Linked DNA regions of Arabidopsis thaliana. The protein of the gene in region 2 interacts with the protein of the main gene of each other region in a pairwise test. Each region holds a gene or a part of one and is shown on either strand. Other genes may lie near its edges. The genes, in order: NAP1;1 and AT3G62870.

The links.
Region 1: the proteins of AT3G62870 (region 2) and NAP1;1 interact in binary tests that used the Arabidopsis thaliana proteins (3 or more experiments, as listed by UniProt).

Annotation. Positions count from the first base shown.
Region 1 is NC_003075.7:13,230,521-13,234,442, forward strand, and holds the start of NAP1;1 (nucleosome assembly protein1;1), read left to right. Parts: upstream 1-2,047; 5' UTR 2,048-2,191; coding exon 2,192-2,237; intron 2,238-2,359; coding exon 2,360-2,403; intron 2,404-2,598; coding exon 2,599-2,694; intron 2,695-2,854; coding exon 2,855-2,947; intron 2,948-3,099; coding exon 3,100-3,190; intron 3,191-3,283; coding exon 3,284-3,345; intron 3,346-3,434; coding exon 3,435-3,619; intron 3,620-3,757; coding exon 3,758-3,922. UniProt on the Arabidopsis thaliana protein: May modulate chromatin structure by regulation of nucleosome assembly/disassembly. Contributes to the regulation of cell proliferation and cell expansion. May function in nucleotide excision repair (NER). Involved in somatic homologous recombination.
Region 2 is NC_003074.8:23,242,735-23,246,656, reverse strand, and holds the start of AT3G62870 (Ribosomal protein L7Ae/L30e/S12e/Gadd45 family protein), read left to right. Parts: upstream 1-2,259; 5' UTR 2,260-2,383; coding exon 2,384-2,386; intron 2,387-2,634; coding exon 2,635-2,676; intron 2,677-2,781; coding exon 2,782-2,983; intron 2,984-3,064; coding exon 3,065-3,363; intron 3,364-3,466; coding exon 3,467-3,559; intron 3,560-3,663; coding exon 3,664-3,795; 3' UTR 3,796-3,922. Other genes in the region: AT3G62890 (Pentatricopeptide repeat (PPR) superfamily protein), read right to left, coding at 1-489; ATOEP16-4 (Mitochondrial import inner membrane translocase subunit Tim17/Tim22/Tim23 family protein), read left to right, coding at 655-726, 809-860, 944-1,009, 1,334-1,554.

The DNA.
Region 1 (3,922 bases), on a different chromosome or scaffold from region 2:
AACCCCTTGTACAATCTTAACAACCCAGACGCAGATTCAAATAGAGCGAAAGGGACCCCAAAAACAATCCTGACTAGAATCAGCCGCACCAGCAATCCAGAAAAACAACCCAGAGATCACGAACAATGAGATTACGGATTTTTCGCCGACTAAATCAAAACCCAGTAATCATCTTCTTCGTGCTCTCGATCTGGTGAAAAAACTCCATATGAACAGAATGTCGTTTTCTGGGATGCTTCTCTCTCTCTCTCTCCTCTCAAGAATTGAATACGAAGATAAAAAAAAAAAAAAAAAAAAAGAGCTTCGATGGACAGAAAACGATGAGGATGTCTTTCTCAAAGTTTGCGTCTTTTTTTTTTTCCTCTTTCCTTGCAGTTGCGGGTAATGTAAAAAAATTATTTACCTCTGAATGATTCCGGTTTTGTTGCTGTGTGCTATGTTCGGTTTGGTTTCTATGCTTCGGTTCAACCAAACAATCTAATGATTATGGCAAGCAGAATAGTAAAATAGAAAAAATGTGTAAAACATCTATAGAACACATATGTATATACATGCTGAGCATCTTTAAATCCACAAAAATACTACTATTTGAGCCGAATCTACCAACTAAACTAAACCTGGTTTTAAAATTATCCGGTTTATTTGAGAGTTTCAACAACAAGCGCGCTTAGACCATCATTATTCATAGTTTATAAGGTTAGTTCTTAGATAAAGTAGGTCTTAAATTTAATGTTATAATTCAATTAATTGTTAAAAATGACTCTTATATAAGAGCCAAATCTAATGTTTCTTAGGTTAATTCTTAGATAAATTAGGTATTAAATATAATGTTTTAATTCAATTAATCTTAATTCTTAGATAAATTAAGTATTAAATCTAATTGTTTGTCATATTTGTTTAAAATTTTATGTTATGTATGTTTCAAATTTTTTGAGTTGTAATAATTATTAAGTTTTTTAAAATTATAATGTTTCTACTTTTTTTCCAATTTTTTTTTTAAGAACTCAAGTTAAGAGTCCACCATTGCATATTGCCAAAATTTCAATCTCTTAACTAAATTCTTAACTTCAAAATTTTCAAAATCAATTATAAAAATATTCATAAGAACTATTAAGATTATGCTAAGAAACTACTATTAATGATACTCTTATGATGGCTATATGATATAAAAAGATTGACCACTTACCAGGTGTGTTTGCTACGCGTGACTTGAAAGCTCTACAAAATGTTTCTCTTAAGTGGGAGTCGTGGAGGTACAAAAAGCTTTTCACCTTTGCTTTTAATAGGATGAATGAAATGATTTACAGTTATCTGATTAGGTTGAATTTGTCTCATGGTTTTCTGGTTAAAAAAAAATGCTACGCGTGAGGCTTCTTTATTGTGTTTCTGGTCAGACGTATAAAAGGTTGAAACTTCAAATTGAAAATGTCGTGATGAGCTAATCTAGATTAGAGTACGTTTAATTCGTTTGAACTCGGGATGAGCTTAAACCAAACTAAAGATCTTTGTGCCTTTTGGGATATGACTTTTTGTTGTGGACTGTTTTTTTGTTTTTGTTGTGGACTGTTTTTTGTTTTTAATTAGTATGTACAGTGTATGTGAACAAAAGAAGTAATCAGTGTATTGGGCTTGGAAGGCTCATTCTTGGGATGGGCCTTAGTACTAACAGATTCAGAAATCTTCTATTTGATCCCATTAAAGTTCACTAACCTGTACTGTATTTGGTGAAGAATCAAATATATATAAGTGTATATATATATATATAAGTATATAGATAATTAATATAATTACATGCAAAATTTTAATTATATAGATAATTAAAGTTTATATATTAGTTATATATATTTATAATTGATTGAATTCATAAATAAACTTTAATTATCTATATATAAGTCAGTTCTCATTATCCATATATATATGTATGTAAAGTTTTGCATGTTATTTAATTCAATAAACTTAATTTTGCTTTTTAAAACATTAAACATCAATTTTTAGAGAAAGAAAAGTATATATAAAAAGAGAAAAAACTAAAATGGCATTTGTTATAATTTTGGTGTGAAAAGGAGGGAGAGAAAAAAACAAAAAAACAAAGAGGATTTAAGGGTTACGAGTCGCCTCCCCAAAACCCTTGTCCCTAGTCTCTTCTGCTTCTTCTTCTTCAAAATCTCTCTCTTCACCAAATCCTCAGAAGATGAGCAACGACAAGGATAGCTTCAACGTCTCCGATCTTACTGCTGGTAAAATACTCCTACTCACGATTACTCTTATCTCTTTCTCCGCCTCTTAAGCCAGAGCTGCTTTAACCCTAATTTCCTCTGTTATCTGACTGGTGTTCCTTTTGTTTACTGTTTTTTTGCAGCTCTTAAGGACGAGGATCGAGCTGGCCTTGTCAATGCTCTAAAGGTGAGTTTTTTTCCCCTTCTGTAAACTGTCCCGTGAGCATTTGCTATTGAAAGATATGGAGGATGTTGAGTTACTTTCCTCTGATTGTTTAGATACTATAAGCCGTGTCTTGGTGTTTAGTGTTTTGGTTTCAATGTCATTCTTCTAGTACAATGATAGTTTATGAGTTGTTAATACATTGTTATTAATTCACAGAACAAGCTGCAGAATCTGGCTGGTCAGCGTTCTGATGTGCTCGAGAATCTGACTCCCAATGTGAGAAAGCGCGTTGATGCCTTGAGGGATATACAGGTTAGCGAAATTTCTTTCACATTTTACCAAACTATGTGTGCTATATATCGTTTAATGGGGTTTGTTTTGTTTTGTGTGAGTTTTCTCCCTGCTTATCTGAATTTAAAGTTTCAAAAGTAAGGTGTTGCGTTTTGATTACTGATGACTTCTTTCCACGCAGAGCCAACATGATGAACTAGAGGCAAAATTCCGTGAGGAGAGAGCTATTCTTGAAGCCAAGTATCAAACGCTGTATCAGCCTTTGTATGTCAAGGTAATTGTTAATGAGAAAGTTTTACAAACCATTTTACTAAACTCAATGTAGATCTGTGTATACTCTTTTTGCTTATGTTTACTTATCTGCAGCAGTGTTAGTTTTCTATGTGCATCTTAATGAATTCTACTTGGTATCTTGTAATGGCACAGCGTTATGAGATTGTGAATGGCACTACTGAAGTTGAACTGGCTCCAGAGGATGATACCAAGGTGGACCAAGGAGAGGAGAAAACTGCAGAAGGTAACTTCATGAGCACTATGTCTTCTTTGTTTGTTGTTAATCTTTTTGGAAAGACAAAAACAATTTAACATTTTTCTCTGTTTTTCATTGCAGAGAAAGGAGTTCCAAGTTTCTGGCTGACAGCTCTGAAAAATAACGATGTTATTTCCGAGGAGGTAGCCTATATGCAGTTTTGGTGTTCGTTTTATAAACACTCCAATCATAACCATGGAATATGAGCATAACTTATTGTCATTTATGTCAGGTCACAGAGCGTGATGAAGGGGCTCTCAAATATCTTAAAGATATTAAGTGGTGCAAGATTGAAGAGCCTAAAGGATTCAAACTTGAGTTTTTCTTTGACACGAATCCGTATTTTAAGAACACTGTCTTGACAAAGTCTTATCATATGATTGATGAAGATGAGCCACTGCTTGAGAAGGCTATGGGGTAACTACTTATACTCTCTTGCAATTGTTGTATACTTTTAAGTATATTCTGCTTATTAGCTGATTGCATTGAGCTGCTTATTTTTTTTCTTCGCTTATATTGCAAATGGATTCTTATTCTTTCACCATTCATTTTCAGGACAGAAATTGATTGGTATCCTGGAAAGTGTCTAACTCAGAAGATTCTCAAGAAGAAGCCTAAGAAAGGTTCAAAGAATACTAAACCAATCACCAAACTCGAAGATTGTGAAAGCTTCTTCAACTTCTTTAGTCCTCCAGAAGTTCCGGATGAAGATGAAGATAT
Region 2 (3,922 bases):
GCTCCAGGAAATCACGTTTCTTTCAGGCATTTCGTCGAACAGTTTCCGCGCATCATCGATCAACCCAGCTTTGGCATAAGCATTGACCACAGAGTTCCAGGCCGGTAAATCCTTCGAGCCCGAGTCATCGAAAACTCGCTGAGCTGATCTCAAGTCGCCACAGGAAGAATACATGTTGAGCAGTGAAGTTCGGACAAATGGGTCTTTGTCAAGTCCAAAAAGAAGAATCTGAGCATGAGTTCGTTGCCCAAGAGGAAGATGAAGCGGATTGTGGAAAGAAGGGAGAAGAAACGGAAAGGTATGAAAATCGGGAGAGACGCGATGGTTGCGCATACGGAGGTAGACTGAGATCGGAGAATGTCGTTGAGGCGACGAAACATTGTGAACAATGGCACGAATGATGATGTTCCACAAGAAAGATTCAAGCTTTAGATGTCGAATATGAAAGATGGGATTTGCATAAGCTATTATTGCCGCCCCCTTGCTCATTGTCTCAATCTAACAAGTGTATCAGAAATCGATTTTAAATATCAAGTACGGTTTTGACAAAACCGAATTGAACCGGTATTTAAATGAATATTTGGTTTCTTAATCAATGTACGGACGGAGAGGTAACAAAACAAAAGGGTTTTGTCCTAATTCAATTTTGCAGAGATGGAGGAAGAATTGCTCTCCGCCGTGCCGTGCTCTTCCCTAACCGTCGAGTCAGTTCTCCGTGTCGCGACGGTAATCACTAGTATCCAATTGAAATTCATGTTTGTGTTAGTGTGTGTATAGATAGATGTCTGAGATTTTTGTTGAAGCTCAGGCCGGTGGATTATATGGGTTATGCGCCGGACCTCGTGACGCTCGTAAAATAGGTATTGAAATTAGCTTTGATTTAGAGAGTTTTTACACTTTTCAATTCATTAATCTGTGCTTTGTTGCTGATTTGCTTCGCCAGGTTTAAGCGGCGTTTCTCAGGCTTCCTTTGTGGCGAAATCCATTGGCAGATTCGGATTTCAATGCGGTAATTTGCTTCCTCTATTGTTTTTCCACCCAAATTAATCTTCAATGACTATGGAATTTGGGTATAAATCTGTAATTTTGGACTTAAGATAATTCTCTTCTTTGTCACTAGAAGAAGAATGCTGCATATACTTTTTTTTTGTTTTGAAAGATCATAATTCTCTGTTTTGCTTGCCATGTAATAATATATAATGCAGATTTCTTTTAGTTGTAATTTTTTTTGGATTAGTTGCTCTGCTCTTCTTTAACTTAGATCTAAATTCTTCAAGTAGTGATTGCTTCTTTAGATTTTGGTATATGCATCAAGAATTCATTTTTGTTTCAGGTCTTGTAAGTGGTGTGTTTACTATGACACATTGTGGGCTTCAACGATATCGAGGCAAGAATGATTGGGTGAATGCTTTGGTAGGAGGAGCTGTGGCGGGAGCAGCTGTTGCCATTAGCACAAGAAACTGGACACAGGTTGTTGGCATGGCTGGCCTCGTCTCTGCTTTTAGTGTTTTGGCTAATTGCACCAGGACAGAAAACCCAAACAACACTAATTAAGGTGATATTTAGAACACTGAATTTTGCTAATAATGCGAGTGTCTGTCGCAGCCACATTCACCGGATATTGAAACTATCTTATAAGCTTGCAGGTCTTTGACAAGTCCATTCAAGAAACTGTATGGAATTGGAACTTGAAGATCAATACACTGACTCTCCGGTTCGATCCTATTTAGTTGGCTGAACCCGTGGATGGTTCTTCTTTTCTATAGACCACACTTTTGGTCTTGTCTCTCTGTAGTCATCATGTACACACAAAGTCCCTCGAACCCGAAACCGTATTTGCATCAATGCTTATTACTGTATAATGTTATTTACAAGATAGAGATAGTCATAGAAAAATTAAAACATCAAAACTGATTTTTAATAAAGTGTATGTTAATAGCCATGCTGTTTCTTAGGAAAGCCAGTTTATTCACGAATCCACCATTTTTCTACTTCAAAATTTATAAATGTATTTCACTCTTTTTGATATGATTCTTTTTGTTCTATATGCTTTTTTGAATACTAAAAGCTATCAGATCGTTCGTTGTGTAATTTTTTTCTATAAAAAATATCGTTGATTTAATAAAAAAATATAGAAAGTAAGATATAAAGATCATGAATATATAATTTTCTTGACGAAAAATTATTTTCTTGATATTCAGAAAATCTATATTGAGAGAGCAATACGTGTCCAAAAACGTAATTTTCTCATCTGGGCTTCTGAGGAAAAAAAATATTTGTATCATTTGGGCTTCAGTGTCTTTATAAATAGTGAAAACACAAAACCCTAAGAGTCGCTCTTGCTCTCAGCCGTCTGTCTTACCTCCAGAAGTCGACGACAACAATGGTACGCCGCTTTTACACCATTTTGCAGCTTTCATTGCCACTTTCGTTTGTTTAGGATCTGTATTAGCTCTTTGTTTCCTCGAATTTGAGCTTCTTTCGTCAAATCTATATTGGAATCTGGCTTATACTTATGTCCCTGAGGATTCTGGCTTTGTTTGATTTCGTAGTTTGTATAGTGAATGCATCGATGCTATGGTGATATGTGACTCTTGTTTCTGATGCTTATCGCCGTTTGTTGTTGATTCATAGGCACCGAAGAAGGGAGTTAAAGTGGCTTCAAAGAAGAAGCCGGTATGCTCTCTTAGCTTTTCCTTTAAGCATTGTTTGTTTTTCTCTGAGTATTATTATTAGTCTTGGTGGAGTTTCTCATTAGATTTGTTGTTGTGTGTATTTTAGGAGAAAGTTACCAACCCATTGTTTGAGAGACGCCCAAAGCAATTCGGTATTGGTGGCGCTTTGCCTCCTAAGAAGGATCTTTCTCGTTACATCAAATGGCCTAAGTCAATCCGTCTTCAAAGGCAGAAGCGTATCCTTAAGCAGAGGTTGAAGGTTCCTCCAGCTCTTAACCAGTTCACCAAGACCCTTGATAAGAATCTCGGTTAGTCTCTTTTTCTTATGGTTATTCAGAAATCTATATGTTTGTATGATCAGTTGCTTAATGTGTGTCATGTAATTGCAGCCACCAGCCTCTTCAAGATTCTTCTGAAGTATAGGCCAGAGGACAAAGCCGCAAAGAAGGAACGCCTTTTGAACAAGGCTCAAGCTGAGGCAGAAGGAAAGCCTGCTGAATCCAAGAAGCCCATTGTTGTTAAGTATGGTCTCAACCATGTGACTTACCTCATCGAGCAGAACAAGGCACAGCTTGTGGTCATTGCACACGATGTTGACCCTATCGAGTTGGTGGTCTGGTTACCTGCACTCTGCAGGAAAATGGAAGTCCCTTACTGCATTGTTAAGGGAAAATCTCGTCTTGGAGCGGTAAATAATTCACCACTCCATGGATGTAAACTTCCATTAAGAGTTTTTCTTACTTTAATGTTTTCACCCTAATTTATGTTCATTTCCTGCTTCTACTCTCCAGGTCGTTCACCAGAAGACTGCTGCTGCCTTGTGCTTGACCACTGTCAAGAACGAGGACAAGCTTGAGTTCAGCAAAATCCTCGAGGCCATCAAGGTAATTAGCTGAATCAGCTTTTGACAATGGAATAGTTTTGAAATGATACTCTCATGTAGTCTTCAAACCATACTCTTAACGTGTTTTTTTGTTGGTGTGAATAGGCTAACTTCAACGACAAGTACGAGGAGTACAGGAAGAAGTGGGGAGGTGGCATAATGGGATCCAAGTCTCAAGCCAAGACCAAAGCTAAGGAGAGGGTTATTGCTAAGGAGGCTGCCCAGAGAATGAACTAGGCATCATACCTTATGTTCTCTGCTATGAAACATATGATAATGGTTTTGTTGTTTAGCGATATTTTGAAACCTTGTTTTATTTTAATTTCTATGCTCTTTCGGATGTTACCACCCTCTTCAGAATTTT